Tamandua tetradactyla: one gene and its partner. The protein of the gene in region 2 purifies or fractionates together with the protein of the main gene of each other region. This does not show direct contact. Links are inferred from orthologs where the notes say so. Each region holds a gene or a part of one and is shown on either strand. Other genes may lie near its edges.

What was found.
Region 1: the proteins of CD19 (region 2) and CD81 purify together in Homo sapiens (affinity purification with western blotting, with the first as the bait; 3 studies listed by BioGRID). This does not show direct contact. The link is inferred for Tamandua tetradactyla from reciprocal best matches to the Homo sapiens genes CD19 and CD81.

What each region holds. Positions count from the first base shown.
Region 1 is NC_135335.1:2,264,477-2,273,045, reverse strand, and holds the start of CD81 (CD81 antigen), read right to left. Parts: upstream 3,669-8,569; 5' UTR 3,615-3,668; coding exon 3,549-3,614; intron 1-3,548. UniProt on the Homo sapiens protein: Structural component of specialized membrane microdomains known as tetraspanin-enriched microdomains (TERMs), which act as platforms for receptor clustering and signaling.
Region 2 is NC_135349.1:25,082,076-25,090,157, forward strand, and holds the start of CD19 (B-lymphocyte antigen CD19), read left to right. Parts: upstream 1-4,712; 5' UTR 4,713-4,760; coding exon 4,761-4,848; intron 4,849-5,080; coding exon 5,081-5,347; intron 5,348-5,679; coding exon 5,680-5,883; intron 5,884-6,037; coding exon 6,038-6,331; intron 6,332-7,242; coding exon 7,243-7,353; intron 7,354-7,605; coding exon 7,606-7,654; intron 7,655-7,904; coding exon 7,905-7,993; intron 7,994-8,082. UniProt on the Homo sapiens protein: Functions as a coreceptor for the B-cell antigen receptor complex (BCR) on B-lymphocytes. Decreases the threshold for activation of downstream signaling pathways and for triggering B-cell responses to antigens.

The DNA of each region.
Region 1 (8,569 bases), on a different chromosome or scaffold from region 2:
GGCCAGGCCCCGGGGGGTGGGGAGCAGCCTCTGGCCGTGGAGGCCTGGGCATTTGGCCAAGACAGGCAGGCAGCTATGTGACGGGATGAGCTTTCCGTGAGCAAAGACTGAAACCCGTGATTCTAGACCCGCTACCCCTCGGGAGCCCCTCAGCCCCACCAGGACCCCCTGGCACCAAGACAGGGGAGAGGGGCAGGTGGGCAGCCCTTAGCCCTCCCTTGCGCTCCGGCCACAGCACCACACCCATGGCCAGGCAGTCACGTATGCTGGGCAAACCCTCACCCCCCCACCGACGGCACGGCAGGGACGGCAGGCCTGGGCACCCTTAAACACACCTTGAGAGCAAACGACCACCTGGTGCTAGAGCAACTCTAGATCAGTCCGTACCATCAGGTCGCATGGCGACAAACCAGCACAGGCAGGGGTCACGCCCAGGCACCAGCTGCCCTCCTCGTGGCACGTGACCTGCAGCTTGGGGGTAGTAGGAGGGGCACATGGCCTTTCTGAGCTTAGACAAGGGGGATTCTCCTCCCAGCCAGCTGGCTCCCTGCTCCCAGGCACCCCTGTGCCCCTGCCCCAAGCAGCGAGGCTCTGACATGCCTCCCTGCACCCCAGCCTCAGCCGGCACCAGGCGTGAGCCTGGACGGCAGCAGCCCTGGCGTGAAATCCGCAGTCAGTACTCCTGCGTCTGGGGGCTGCCTGGAGGGTCCCCAAAGTGTCCTCACAGGGCTCAGCATTTGCTCTGCAGCACCCCCAGAGGCGGAGCTGAGGCTAGGCCCAGAAGTATAAAGTAGGGGCACCGAGGAAGTTCAGGGGTTTCTGGGAGGGGTCCCCCGGGGCCACCAGGCAGCCCTTCCTCGGCCTGGTCCCAGAACTCAAGGCTGGACTGATTTCATGACCAAAGCTCTCCCCAGGGTGGGATTTCAGCCTGGAAACTGAAAGCGTGGGGGGCCTGGGGGTCCATCTCCCCATGTGGGCTTAGAAGTTGTCAGGAGACAGGGAAGTCAATTTACAGAGTGACCACACAGGGGTGGGCAAGGGTGAGACCTGAGGGATCAAAGCGGGGGAGTGTCTCACATGCTGCCTGGGGAGGGTGGGAGAGGGGCTGGCCTCAGCCAGCACCCACAGGGTCCCCGGGGCCCAAGCTAGCACCCATGGGGTCCCCGGGTTCCCCCGTGCCTGAGTCCTGCGCAATCTGGAGGGTGTAAGCACCCACGGGCCAAGCATCCTCGGCTGCGGCCAGCCCGTCTTGGACAAACCACAGATATGCTCCTACCAGCCAGCCTGAGAGCAGCTCCCCAGTGCCCAGGGGAACTGGGGGTAAAACAGGCACGAGGGAATCCCCGCCCCGCCCTTGGGTGCCAGCTGTCTCCACCAGGAAGCTCCTGACCCATGCTGAGAACAGGTTTTGCACACTGCCTGGGTCTTGGCCGGAGGAGGAAGGCAAGTGAGAGCGAGCGAGTGTCCATGTAGGGGCACCTGGGCCAGGATAGAGTGGAAGAGCCATGTCACGTGGGATGGCCCCCAGGCACTGCCACACTGACCCATCATGGCTGCTGCCCTGCTGGCCATCACATCCAACGCCCATCTCCTGCCCCCCCACCCTGTGCCAAGTCACCAACAACCCCGGGAAATGGGACCCCTAGGACAGGGCAGGAAGCCAAGGCCGGACTCCACCCAGCTCCCACTCCAAGTGGTTCAGGGGCTCGGCCAGCCCCACCCTACTCTGTTCTGCATCCCCCCCCCAGGGCCCAGGGGGTGGGTGGGTGCTCCTGTGTCTCAAAGTGCTTGGATAGGTGGCCCACCAGCTCCCGCACAGGGCAGAGAGGCTCAGCTCAGAAGCCGTTCCTGGAGCCTCGATAATAAAGAGCAGCCCCCCCGGGGACTCGTTAGACTGCCACCCCTGCGGGGGGGAGGGGGGAAACAACGGCCGACTGGCCCAGCTCCCAGGGGAGGTGCGGGAGGGACTCGCCCAGCAGGGTCCCAGGAGGCAGGAACACAAGTCCCTTCCCTGTGCCTGTGCCTCCCTTCCAACCAGGGTCGACACCCCCAAATCCAAGCAGAGACGCCACTGGGACATCCCATATCAGTCTCCTGGGGCCAAGGCAGGCAGACTTTAAACATGCTGAAGCCAGCACTCCAGGACCCCCAGCTGGGAACTCCCACCCAGCCCTGGCCAGAGGGACCCCGTGCCCTCCTGCAGTATAGCCCAGCTTGGAGAAGGACAGCACGACCCCTCTCTTGGGTGCTCAGTCCAGTCTCTGTCCCCCCACCCCCCTCCCAAATACCTCACTGCCCCCGCAAGCATCCTCAGTGTCCAGATGGGAAACAGATGTGCCAGGCCCAAACGCGCCTGCCTGGGGGACATCTGCAAGTTTACCCTGCTGGACTCCACAAAGATGCGGGCCACTGTCCCCTGTGAGAGAGGGAGTTCATGCCCGGGATGGAGGGGCAGCAAGGGAAGGGACCCGCGGTCAGGCCAGCCCCCCACCAGCAACCTCCCTGCCCCCAGTCCTGAAGGAGTCTCCCTCTGCTCCCAGATTCCAGGGCTAACGGGAAATGGAAACAAAAGGAAAAGCGCACCCCCGGGGAATTCCCAGCAGTTCAGGCAGGGCAGAAGAAAGCAGCTCCTCCAGGGAGACTCTCCAGTCCCCCAAAAATTCATCATCAGAGGTGACCACAGCATGGGTCCCTCTTCCCAGAAGGCAAGCTCTCGCCCAGGACTTGGGTACTGGTGCCGGGACCCTGTCTTGAGCCCACTCGGGACGCCGGCCCCCCCTCCCCTCCACGGCAGTCCCTCCCCCTCCCCCACACCCACTCCAGGGTGCATGGGAGACAAGGCCAGGGCTGAGGTCCCACGACGGATGGGCAGACGAGGCGGGGGCAGGCACCCCAACACGCAGACACGCCTGAGCCAAGCCCACTGCTTTCCTGACCCCAGGATTCAGAAGCGGTCACAGCGGTTGGAGGCTGGGCTGGAGGGGGGGCTGTGGACGGTCCCAAAGCCTGGGCCAGTGGGCCGACGCAGGGGCGGTGGCCCCGATGAGCTCATGGGGGCGGGGCGCCAAGAGCCCCGCCCCAGCCCCCTCCCGCCCCCCTAAGTAGGGTGGTCCCGGGATCAGCCGCTCGGGAGAGCGGGCTGCGGCCGTCCCCCACCGAGGGGTGCCCGCGCGCGCGGCCTCGGGTCCCGCAGCCCCCACTCCAGTCCCTCATGTGGGGATCGGCGGCTCCGAGCGCCGACGTCACCCCCCCCCAGGGCCCCCCAAATGCCCCGGCCCGGCCGCGCGGCCCGGAGCCCCTGACGCACAGAGGCCCGGGCGTCCCGTAACCCCGCGCCGACCCCGCGGGCAGGGGCGCAGCGACCACGGGCGAGCCCCCGCGCCCCGGGCACGCAGGCCGGGCGCCCACAGGTGGCCCCGCAACTTGGCGGGCCGCGGCCGGGCTGCGCCGCCGCCTGCGCTCGGGCCTAGCCGGGGCCCGGCCTGCGGGAGTCCGGGGCGTCCCCGCAGGAACCACCCCGCCCCCCGACCTCCGGCGGCGCCGCTTACCCAGAAGACGAAATTGAAGACGAAGAGCAGGTACTTGATGCACTTGGTGCAGCCTTCCACCCCCATGGCGGCGGGAGCGGCGGGGGCCGGGCCTGGGCGGCGGGCGGGGGCGCCGAGGGGCCGGGGGGAGGCCGGGGGTCAGGGACGCGGCGCGGGGGGCGCGGGGGGGGCGCGGGAGGCCTGGTCGGTGCGCGCTCGGGTCGCCGCGGCCGCTGCTGCTGCTGCGCGCTCGCTCTCTGGCCGTGCGCGCGCCCCGCTCCGCGCCTCTTATAGGACGCACGAGGCCCCGCCCCTTCCCCGCCCCCCGCCCCGCCCGCTGCCCGCAGCGGCCCGAGCGCGCGGGGCCGCCGGGAGTCCAGAGTCGGGCCCGCGCGCGGCGTGGGGGGTGGGAGTGCGGGCAGTCCATTGGTGTCCCCACGGGGTTCCCGCAGACCAGCGCGGGCTGGCTGGGAGGTCTGGGCCGGCGGGAGGACGGTCAAGCAGGCTGTGCTTCCCCTCATCCCCTGGGAGGGGCCGGAGCCCCCCGGGGCGCCAGGCCCCACTTCCCGCTGTGGTCCCCAAAGCCTGGTGGCCAGGCCCCCGCCCCCGCCGGCTTGGGGCAGTGAGGAAGGGAGACCCATGGGGACGGTGTGGGGGTGGGTGACCCACAGATGAAGTTTCTGCCCATTCTTGCCCAGAGAAACAGGGAGGGCCAGGCAGAGCCCACTCACGGTTCGCCCCACCCTCCGGACCACAGAGCCACCCTTTAGGAGCTACCCCACCCCACCCGCCACTCCCGCAGCTGCCATAGCCGAAAGCCCTGTGTCTGCCTGACACCTGGCTGTTTGTGACCTTTGAGCCGGTGAAGTGTGGCTGGTGCCTCTGAGAACTGCATTTTTAATAGAATTTAGGGGTAGCTGAAATTCGGATAACCAGCCATCAGTCTCAGCTGCTTCTACTTAATTCTGTCGTCTTCTCTGGTTAATTTGTAAATCTGTGTTGGTTTTGTACTTGGACAAGAGCTGCAAGCGTGAGTTTAGAGCTAGTTTTTTGTGCCTATCTATGTGACGTGATAATAAAAGTAAGTCTTCCCCGGGGTCAGGGAGTGTTTGTTTCACTTAAAGGAGACGGAACAGTGATGGAAGGAAACAGTCACCCAGGTGTTCTGGGCACCTGCTGTCCCATCACAAGTTGCATCTAAGTGACAAGGAGGGGTGTGGGGGCTATGGCCGGCTCGTTCTCTCCCTTCTGCAGTCGTGGAGAACACCTGCTGGACACCTGCTACATACCAGACACGGTGCCGGGGCCCGGCTGGGGACTGGGCAGCCAGGGCGCCTTCCCCTGAGGGCCCTGGGCTCCGGTGGGGGAGCTGGGTGATCAGACTGACCCTGGGAACCTGGAGAGTAGCGAACGTTGCGAAATCCCCCATCCCTTTGTGTTCCGGAAGGTGGCTGGCTGCAGAGCCCGCCCTCCCCGTGAGATTCAGATAAGCCCCTTATTTCCCAGGAGCAGCCGGCCCTGCACAGGTCACTCGTGGCTCACAGAGGACGTGCTGAGCCGCGGGTCCCACTGAGCCACCAGACCCTGAGCCCTGAGGGTGCGTAGAGGGCAATCCTGCAGAGGGCAGGGAGGGGCATTCACTGGGCAGGGGGGAGGGGCCAGGTGCCTTGGAGAAGCAGGAAGGAGGCCAGTGGGATAGGGGCAGAGGGAGTTATGGGGACAGGGCTGAGGCTGGGCAGAGGAGAAGGCAGGGCAGTTGGGGGGCAGGTGGAGAAGTCAGGGGCAGGCAGGACACTCGAAGGGGCAATCAGGGAAGTCAGGGGGGCAGTTGGGGGGCAGGCAGGAAGGTCAGGGGCAGGCAGGGAGGGGTTGGGGGCAGGCAGGCCAGCATGAGGTCCTGAAGCATAGGGAAGGTGCCCTGGATTCGGAGTGGCAGTGGGAGTGGGGGGCTCCGGTTTCCCGGGGGGATTGACTGAAGGGTGGCCCACATGGCAGCAAGGAGAAGGGTCAGGAGGCTGCCTCGGCCCGCCATGGAAGGACACCCCGGCCCCACAAGCTGGCAGGGAGCACGACTAAGAGGGTACAGGCGGACCCCTCCCAGTGCCCTGCGCATGGGGGGTGCCCACACGCTCAGGCCAGGCCCTCCCAGGGGCACCACGTCATGCCCTGCACACAGCTAGGTTCCCACCCAGTGGCCCCCGGCTTGATCCAGCGGGGACCGCAGGGGACCGGCCAGCAGTGATGGCACAGGCCTGTCCTAGGAAGGGCCCCCTTTGTCATCTGGCCAGCTCCAGGACACCAGGAGAAGGACAGAGCAGAGGCGGGGCCGTCCAGAGGCCATGCCCGGGGCCCAGGCGCTGTGGGCCCTGAGAGGGACTGAGGTTGTGCATTCGTTTGCAGGCTGCTGGAATGCAATACCACAGAACTGGAAGGGCTTTGACAATGGGGGAATTTAATAACTTACAAGTTTACAGTTCTAGAGCTGAAAAATGTCCAAATTAAGGCACCAACAAGAAGTTACCTTCACTCAAGGAAGGCTGATGCCATCAGGAACACGTCTGTCAGCTGGGAAGGCACATGGCTGGCATCTGCTGGTCCCTTGTTCCTGGGCTCTGTTGCTTTCAGCCTCGGTTCCTGTGGGGGCTCCTCACTTTGCTTCTCCAGGGCTGACTTTCATCTCTTGCCTCCCCTTGGCTCTCTCCAGGTTCTGGCTTGCTTAACATCTCATGGCAACGTCTGCTGGGCTCCAAGCATCTCCAACCATCTGTGTCTCTGTTCTGCAAGTGTTGGCATCAGTGTCAGCTCTGCTCTGAAGTTTCCGTTGGCTCTGAGGCTTCTGTCCTTTCTCCAAATTGTTTCCCCTTTTAAAAACTCTAATGATCTAATCAAGACCCACCTAGAATGGGTGGGGTCACATCTCCATTAAATCAAAAGATTACACCCACAATTGGGCGTGTCACGTCTCCATGGAGATAATCGAATCGAAACTTTCCACCATGCGATATTGAATCAGGATGAGAAGAAAAAGCTGCCCTCACGAGATTCAGTCAGGATTAATACATGGCTTTTCTGGGGTACATAATACTTTCCAGCCAGCACAGGGTGTAATGAGGAGACAGTGGCTGCATGGGGACAGCAGGCCAGCCGGCTGTGGCTCGGTCTCCTGCTCTGTACTGGGTTGGGTGATGTTCCCCTAAAACTGATGTCCACCTGGACCCCAAGGACATGACCGTATTTGGAAATAGGGTCTTTGCAGATAGAATTAGTAAAAATTGAGGTCATTCTGAGTTGGAGTGGGTCTTCTAATAAAAAGCTGCTCTTCTAGGAAGGCCAGGGAAAGACACCGAGAGGAGACAGTGTATTGCTGCCGCAAGCCGGGGGGGACCCCCAGGAGTGGGAAGAGGCAAGCAAGAGCTCACCCTCAGAGCCTCTCAAAGGAACCAACCCTGCCAACGCCTTGATTTCGGTCTCTGGCCTCCAGAGCTATGAGAGACGGTATTTCTGTTGCTTTCATCCTCCCAGTGTGGGGTGTGTGCCCCAGAAAAAGCCGTGTTCTTTTCATCCATTTCTGTGGGGGCAAACCTGTCGTGGGCGGGGACCTTTTGTTTAGGTTGCTTCGTTTGAAATGTGACCGGGCCCATGCAAGCTGGGCCCTAATCCTTCTCTGGAGCCCTTTATGAGATGATAAGGACAGGAAAAGCCAAGAGAGCCTATAGAGAAGAGCCCTGGAGAAGCTAAGAGAGGACGCAGACACTCAGCGAGGAAGCCACTGGAACCAGGAGCTGAAAGCAATGAAACCTGGGAGCAAAGGACCAGCAGACCCCGGCCATGTGCCTTCCCACATGACAGAGGTGTCCTGGATGCCAGCAGCTCGTTTTCAGAGTCCAGGTATCGTCCTGTCAATGCCTCAATTGGCACACTTTCATGGCCTTAGAATTGCAGACTGTAAGCTGCAATTTTTTGCACCCCCGTTGCAAAAGCCAACCCATTTCTGGTTTGTAGCACCCTGGCAGTTTAGCTAACCGAAATGGGGTGCTTTGTTACAGCCGCCACAGGGCACTGATACCAGGCAACTCTGGCGGGGTCCCGGATGCAGCCGGGGGTCTGGGTGGGTTAGACCTGCAAACAGCACAGCCATGAGGGCGGGGTCACCTTAGCAGAGCCGGCGCCGGGCAAGTTGTGTCCTCCGGGGGTCCACTGTCCCGGGCTCCTGGAGCCGGCCGCTCAGCACCCCCTGGAGCCCACCCCTGGGAATAACTGAAAACCACCGAAATACAGACAAACGGGTGACTTATTCGGAGAGGCTGTAGCAAGGGAGCTGATGGCCGTCACTGGGGGTTGGCAGATAAGGGCAGGCACGGGGTGGGACAGCTTCGTAGTGGAAAAACAAGGGTGGGGAGGGCCTAACTGAAAATCAGTCAGGGTGATACAGCGTATTAGCACATAAGGGACAAAAACAAACAAACAAACAAAAAAACACAGAAACGTCTCAATTTTCTTTTCATGCAGAAAAAGCATTTGACAAAATCCAACACATTTTCAAGATGAAAAACAAAAACTCCACAAAGCAGGAACAGAAGGGAGCATTCTTGACCTGATAAAGGGAATCCTCAAAAGCCACAGCCAGCCTCATACGTGAACGCTGAAACCCTTCCCCCATGGCAAGGATTCAGCTTTCACCATTTTTAGTCAAAATTTGACTGGAAGTTCTAGCCAGGGCCACTAGACAAGAAAATTAAGTAAAAGGCACCCAGATTGGAAAGAAAGAACTTAAAACTATCTCAGTTTGCAAATGAATGCTCTCATGTAGAAAAAATCCTAAGAAGTCCATTAAAAAATCTCATAGAATTAATAAACCCATCCAGCAACGTGGCAGCTCACAGCATCCGTGGACAAAAATCAATTGCATTTCTCTACGCCAGTAACGAACAACGCCAAAATGAAATTGAAGACACAATCCCATATAACCCCATATTTATCATAGCAGCAGAAAGGATGAAATACCTAGGAAGCATTTTACAAAAGAAGTGCAAGGTTTGTAT
Region 2 (8,082 bases):
AAGTTCCATGAGATCAGGAACCTTGTCTTTCTTATTGCCTACTGTTTTCCCAGCACCTCACACAATACTTAGTACTTAGGAGGCACTAAATAAACGTTTGGTGGATGAACATACATTTTCCTTCCTGGCCTCCCTGACCTCCCTTCCTCCAACTCACCCTCCACCCTGCAGCCAGGGAAGCTTTGGAAAATGCAAATCTATCCAAGTCAGCTCCAGGCTTATAAACTCCCATTGACTTCTTGTGGCCCTCAGGATAAAGTTCAGACTCCCTGTTTCTGGAGTAAGATTTCTGGGGAAGGGGATGAAACAGTGACTAGAAGTAAGGGTCCAGTCAGTTTGGCGAGAGCCTTAATGCCAGCTTTCAGACTTGGGCTTTAGCCGGCAGGCCCTGGGAGCCATCAAAGGCTTCTGAGTCAGGCAGGTATGTGACCAATATCAAAGATATATCCGTGTGGAGTGTAGGTGGGGCACGAAAGAGATGGGGGGGCTGGAAGCCCAGGCAGAAGGCTACTGGAATGGTTCCAGTTGTAACGGGAAGGGTCCAAAGTTAGAAGAACGTTGATTCTAGAAATATTTAGGATATGAAATGGACTACCCTTAGTGAAAGAACATGTTGGGAGGAAGAGAAAAGAAAACTTTCACTTTTTCCTAGCTTCCTTCCTTTATTCAACATTTATTGAGCACCTACTAGATGCCAGCAAACAGGACAATCAAGGTCCCTGGTCTCACAGAGTGAACATTGTGCTGCAGGAGGCAAATGAGGAGGCTAACAATTAAGAAAGTATAACTTGTGATTGGGGCACGTGCTGGGAAAGAAATTAAAAAGCATGAGATCAAAAGTAAGTGGGGTGCAGCCCCTTGTAGAGCAGTGTGGGTTCCACAGGAGGCTAGGGATGGTTGCCATGTGATCCTGAAACCCCATTGCTCAGTATATTCCTGGAGGAACTGAGTGTGGGGACAGGAATGGACATTTGTACACTTGTGTTTATGGTGGCAGTATTCCTGATCCACAATGAATGAAGGTGGGGCACAATGACGGAGGAATGGAAGTGGGTACTATGGTGTACACATACACTGGACTACTGAATCTCCACCAGAAGGAATGAAGTTGTGCAGCATGCAACTAGATGAATGAAGTTAAAGAGCTGTATGTTAAATGAAATGTCAGGAACAAAAAGACAAATATTATCCCGCTTCAACTATATGGACTAACTATAATATAAAAATCTGGTGAACTACAGTCGAGAGCATGGGTTATCAGGTTGGGGGTTATTGTAAAGGATCCTAGATTGTAAGCTCTGAAAGCAGTCGTAAATGTTTAGGAGTGTAACTGTTATTTCTAAATTCTGAGATACTGAGGTGTTTGCATATAACATGGGTTTTCCCAGAAACTTCGGGTATTTGTGTGACACCTGAGACTCAGAGTCAGAGCTCTGAAGCTATCAAAGTCAGCAGTACCCCATACAGGAACTGTTTAAAGAGTTGAAAAAGTGATCAGACTTCGAGTAGAGATATGAATGAAGATGATATCATCCGTATCTTAAAACTTCAACTTCTGTGTCAGACTAAAGGGAGAGAAGTCTATTTGGTGCAAGATTTATATTTTGGGTAGTGCATTTCCTGATTTAATTTGTATAGTCAGTTTAGTTGAACACCATAGATACAGGGAATCTTGAATAGGGCATGAGATTTTATTGGTTGTCCAAGTTAATGTGATGGCCTGATAAATTCCAGAGTGATATGGACAGTGAATAAAGAAGTATTTGTAAAGTCCCCTTGGGGGAATTGGGAGAAAGAGGGAAAGATGCAACTTCCCCATTTAGAGAATTTCTGATACTCTCACAAGCAATGGGGACAACCAAATCAATAGGCCAACCCCTCGATCTTGGGGTTCATCCCTATGAAACTTATTCCTGCAAAGGGTAGGCTAAGCCTGCTTAAAATGAGGCCTAAGAGTCGTCCCTAGAGAACCTCTTTTGTTGCTCAGATGTGGCCTCTCTCTCTAAGCTGACATGGCAAGTGAACCCACTGCCCTCCCCCATCTACGTGGGATATGACTCCCAGGGGTGTATATCTTCCTGGCAACATGGGACAGGAATCCCAGAATGAGCTGGGACCCAGCATCAAGGGACTGAGAGAGCCTTTTTTAAAAAAATTTATTTATTAATTAAAAAGTAAAGAAACAAAATAAAACATACATAATCAGTAATTCACAATATCATCACTTAGTTGCATATTCATCATTTCTTAGAAAATTTGCATTAATTCAGAAAAAGAAATAAAAAGACAATAGAAAAAGAAATAAAACGAACACAGGAGAGAAAGCCTTCTTGACCAAAAGGGGGAAGAGAGAAATAAGGCAAAATAAAGTCAGTGGCTGAAAGATTTCAAACAGAACTGAGAGGTTATCCTGGAGGTTATTCTTACACATTATACAGATATCCCTTTTCAGTTTATAGTGTATTTGAGTGGCTAAAGGGAAGTGCCTGAAACTTTGGAGCTGTGTTCCAGTAGCCTTGTTCCTTGAAGATGATTGTATAATGATATAGCTTTTACAATGTGACTGTGTCATTGTGAAAACCTTGTATCTGATACTCCTTTTATCTAAGATATGGACAGATGAATAAAAAATATGGATAAAAAATAAACAGATAATAGGGGGAACAAAGGTTAAAATAAATTGGATAGATGAAAATACTAGTGGTTAATGAGAGGGAAGGGTTAAGGGTATGGGATGTATGAGTTTTTTCTAACTTTTTATTTCTTTTTCTGGAGTGATGCAGAAAAAATGATCATGGTGATGAATACACAACTATGAGATGTTATTGTGAGCCACTGATTGTACACCATGCATGGAATGTTTGTATGTTAAGAATGTCTGTATTTGTATGTTGTTTCACCAATAAAAATATTAAATAAAAAAAAGTAACTGGGGAGAAGGAAGGGATCAGGGTAGGCCCTTTAAATGCTGAGACCCGACCGAACCGAGTGATGAAGGAACCAGCCCCCTTGAGTTGCTGTGCTACAGATCCCAGAAGAAGAGCAGCGAGTGCAGAGGCCCTGAGGGTGGGAAAGCCTGTGAGTTGGAGGCTGGTGCACTAGGACAGGCACGAAGGATGGGGTGGAGAACACAGGCAAGGGCTGTGGTTTGGAGGTTTTCTTTTAGGTAGGTTAGAAAACCCCCTGAACTGTTTTAAGCAGAGAACTGACATGCTCCAGCAAGAAGGCTGGTGATGGGGACACGTGTGTCAGCAGGGAATCGAATGAAGGGGATCAGAGGGAGTTTGTTGAATAACAATGCCCCACTCTTTCCCCTCCCAGCCACAAAGCTGTTCAAAGGGAAGTGGGGCTCTGCCACCTGGAGGGTCCCCTGGGGTTTGCCCAGAGCAAACAGGAAGCCACAGCCCAGTGAGACAGGCATGGGAATCGGCAACTGAGAAAGTGGGTCTCTTGGGTCCCTCAATCCTTTCCCTCAGTGCCTATAGCAGTGAAGACAAAAGATACCGAGAGAGAGAGAGAGAGAGAGAGAGAGAGAGAGAGAGAGAGAGAGAGAGAGAGAGAGAGAGAGAGAGAGAGAGAGAGAGAGATATGAAGGAGGGAGGGAGGGGGGGAAAGGCGGGGAGGCAGAAGGAAAACAGATTTAGGAAGTCAGGACTCCTCAGTTTTAGTGTTCATTGCGCCCCCAGCTCGATGTGTGATGCTGGGCAATGCCCTGCCTTTTTTGGGGTCTCAATTTCTCCATTTCTAAATGGATTCCTTCCTTAACTGAATGCAGGAGCTACTTAGGGGAAGAACCAGGAGAAAAGAGGGCGTTATTCACCAGTCATTTCTAAGATGGCTGCCAAGGAGCTACAGAGTCTCCTGCCTGCCCCCCACACTGTCAAGCCCTCTCCTGGCTTTATGTGTGTTGACTGATTCATTCTTAGAACAATGGATGGGGGGCCGGAGGTTCTCTCCTCATCACCCCCAATTCACAGGGAAGGACACTTGCCCAAGGGTTTGAATCCAGGCAGACTGGCTCAAACCTGTGGTTTTAGCATTCACTGTGCTGGGCATTGAGCTAAAAATGCCATATACCTACTGTTCTGTCTAATCTTCACGAACAAGCTTTGGGTAGTTGTAGCATTATCTGCAATTTACAGAGATGGAAACTGAGGCTTACAGAAATGAAGAAATTTAGCCAGGTAGTAGAGGCGGAGGATTAAAACACAGGTCTGGCAGATCCCAAAGTGTATGGGATGGGTTAGTGGTTCAGGATAGAATAAAAGCCCAAGAATTATCAAATGAATGAATGGAATGGGTTTGTTGAAAGAATGAGTGGGAAATGGATTTGGAGCCTGGGGTAGGGAGGAGGGAGAAGCAGAGAGCCCCTAAGGTTGAATTCACTCATTCAACAAGTATTTCTTGGGCACCTACTCTGCCAAGCACGGTTTTAGGGCCCTCGGCATTTAGTGGTGAATAAGACATAGTCTCTGCTGTGAGGGGGAAACAGAAAGTGAACACGCAGGCACACAAATAAGACCATTTCACATGGTTGTAAGCACTGGGATGAAAATAAAACAGCGTAGCAGGGAAGAGGCGAGCTTTGTGAGTCTGGTGGGGTGCTTGAAGAAGGGGGCCTGAGGCGTGACCACCCCTTCCTCCCCGGGGGGACTGCCCACCCGCCCCCATAGACGCCCATGGTTCAGTGCCCCCCCAGCCCCCGCCTGCCCAGCATCCTCTGCGCAGCAAAGCTGGGCTTCCTGGGGAGTCTGGCCACCATGCCGCCTCCTCTCCTCCTCTCCTTCCTCCTCTTCCTGATCCCGGTGGGAGTCAGACCCCAGACCCCAGTGCTGGTGGAGGCTGAAGGTAGGTCCGGAGGGCATGGAGGGTAGGCAAAGGGGTTGGAGACCTGGGTTCTGGCTGGGTGGCTTGGCCAAGTAACTTACTCTCTCTGGGCCTCCATTTTCTCATTTGTAAAATTTGGGGAGGGATAGGAAGGAGTCTGAGGACCCATCCACTCCCCACCTGTGGGGTCTGGGTTAGGCCCCAGTGTAAGGAGTGACGGGAGAGTCTTCTCTATCTCTGCCTCTCTCCACAGAGGGAGGTAATGCCTACCTGCAGTGCCTCACAGGCCCCTCGGACGGACCTTCCCAGCAGCTGGCCTGGTCCCGCGGGTCCCAGTCAGCACCCTTCTTAAGGCTGAGCATGAGGCTCCCAGGCCTGGGCATTCAGATGGGACCCCTGGGCATCCTGCTGCTCATCTTCAACGTCTCAGACCAGATGGGGGGCTTCTACCTGTGCCAGCCAGGGCCTCCCTCTGAGAAGGCCTGGCAGCCTGGCTGGACAGTCAGTGTGGAGGGCAGCGGTGAGGGCTGGGCCCAGCTGGGGAAGGGTGGGCTGAGACAGAAGAGGGAGGCCCACCTGAATGAAGGAGTTCCCGGGGCCAAAACTGAGCTGGAGGGAGAGGCTGGGGCTGGGGGGCCCTGTGGGACAAGCAAATGGGCGGGACTCAATGGCTTCAAAACGGAGCTGCACCCAACCCTTCTGTCTTGTACTCTCTGCTCTCTCTACCTGAGTCTCTGTTTGTCCTCCGGCTCTTCTTTGGATCATTGTTGCCATTTGTCTCTGCCTTCTGGGCCTCAGCATCTCTTTCCCTCTCCTGGATGTCTCTGTACCTGGTTCCGGCTCTCTTCCCAGGGGAGCTGTTCCGGTGGAACGCGTCAGACATAGACCACCCAGGCTGTGATCTGGGGAGCAGGTTTGCAGAGGGCTCCAGGCTCTCTTCTGGTCCCCCCACCAGCTCCCAGCTATATATATGGGCTAAAGACCAACCTGAGATCTGGACGGCGGACCCTACATGTGCCCCACCTGGGGACAATCCAAACCATGGCCCCAACCAAGGTAAAGTGACAGGAACTGGCAAGAAGCAAGGAAGTGGAAGTTTGTGTATGTGAGTGTGTGGGGGGGTGCAGTAGATGGAGACTGGGAACTGGAGGGCTTGCGGGGGATGGGACCAAGGACCAAGCTTTCCTAACCTTGGTTCCTTCTACCCTAGATCTCACGGTGACCCGTGGCTCCACACTCTGGCTGTCCTGTGGCATGCCTCCAGATGTCGTGGCTACGGGTCCCATCTCCTGGATCCATGTGCGCCCCAAGGAGCCTGAAATCTCATTGCTGAGCCTAGAACTGAGGGAAAATCCCCCAGTCAGAGAGATGTGGGTTCTGGGGACCCTCAGGGAAAGGGCTCTTCTATTGCTGCCCCAGGTCACAGCTCAAGATGCTGGCACCTACCACTGTCACCATGGCAATGTGACCACCGACTTGCAGTTGAAGGTTATTGTCCGGCCAGGTAGAGAGTTTTTCCCAATTGTGGGCCATCTGTGTGGGGATGCTGGGAAGAAATGGCAGGTAGTCCTCCTTGGACTCTAAACCTAAGGGCTAGTACCAGCCTCACCCTGTACCCCACTTCAACCTTGACCCTCAACTCTTTTCTCCCTCACTTCCTGTACTACTCATTTGTCCTTCCCATCAGCTTTGGTAAGGTCTTCCTTCCTCTTCCACCTTTCACTGCTAGAGCCCTGGTCCTCTTCTCATCTCTGTCCACACTGTCATCCTTGTATACACACTCTCCTTCTTTAACCTCCTTTACTTCCATGGCTGCTTGCACATTCCATGCCCCATACCTAGCTGTCTCCTGGACATTGCCATTTGATGTCCCATGGACACTGAAGACTCAACATCTACAAAATCATCATCTTCCTCCCCAAGTATGGTCTTCTGGGTGGTCCTGTGTAAGGAAGGGCATCACCACCTGCCCACTGGCCCAAACCAGGAACCGGGGTGTCCTTCCTTTTCCTCAACTCATTCATCAAGTTGGTCACAATGTTCTATCCATTCTGTTTCCTTGATCCAATCCTACCATGCTAGCCTAACCACAATTCTCAAACTCAGTCTCAACTTTCACTACAGACGTGACCTCAGCAATGTGCCAGATCCCAACTCTCACCTCCTGAACTCAATTCAGCTCTTGACTTTGACCATGACTGATTCTTATGCTCCCCTTAATCCTAACATGCCCTTGACTCTAGTCATGGTTTGTTCATTCATGGCGCCAGGCTTCATGGCACATCCCTGGCCTCCTAGGACACAGCTCCTTAGAGAGGGAGGGACGAGTGTTGTCTTTGTATCTTGGTTGAGGTCTTGACACTGGGAAGTAAGGTGCCAGTCCTGGGTCCTCGTCTCAAAGCCCCTTTCCTCTAGCAGTATGGCGCTGGCTCCTGAAGAATGGTGGATGGAAGGTCCCAGTTGTGACTCTGGTTTACCTGATCTTCTGCATGGGTTCCATAATGGGCTTTCTTCTTTTTCGAAGGGGTAAGTCATGTTCCCCAGGTGGTCTGCCCAAACCCTGCTCCATCTTCCTCAGGATAATCCCACACTGATAACCTTCTTTCCTCCCATTCCCTCCTTCCATCCCCAAGGACCCCAGAATCCTTTGCCCCACTCCTCCTCGAACCCCCTCAAACTACCATCTCCTCCACTGGCCTGAGTGCTTTCCCTAGAACCCCCCCAAGTCCTCACCCCGCCAAGCAGCCCCTGCCTCTGATCACTCTCAACTCCCACCAGCCCTGATTGTGAAGAAGAAAAGGAAGAGAATGACTGACCCCACCAGGAGGTAACACGGGAGTACCCCCCTCCCCCACCTACAGGCTTTCACTTCATGCTTTGCACTTAACTGTTCCCTGTGCTGGGGGTGAAATATTTCCTAACTCCAAAGCTATCTCCTCTGTGAAGTCTGGCTTGGAGTGATCCCAGGCTCCTCTCTCCTCTGAAGGCTGTCCCACCACAGAGGAGCTAATTATAAGTGGACACCCTTTAACCTCCGAGGGCCTGGCCTCAGGGTGCATCCCTCCCCCCCTCCCCAGGTTCTTCAAAGTGACTCCTCCTCCGGGAAACGGGGCCCAGAACCAGTACGGGAACGTGCTATCCCTTTCCACGACCAGCTCCAGCACCGGTAGGAGGTGCCGCCAGGCCTCGGCTCCCAGCTCGGCCTGTCCCTCCGGCCTCCAGCCCCACCGCCAAGCTGGAGCTCCTCCTGCAGAG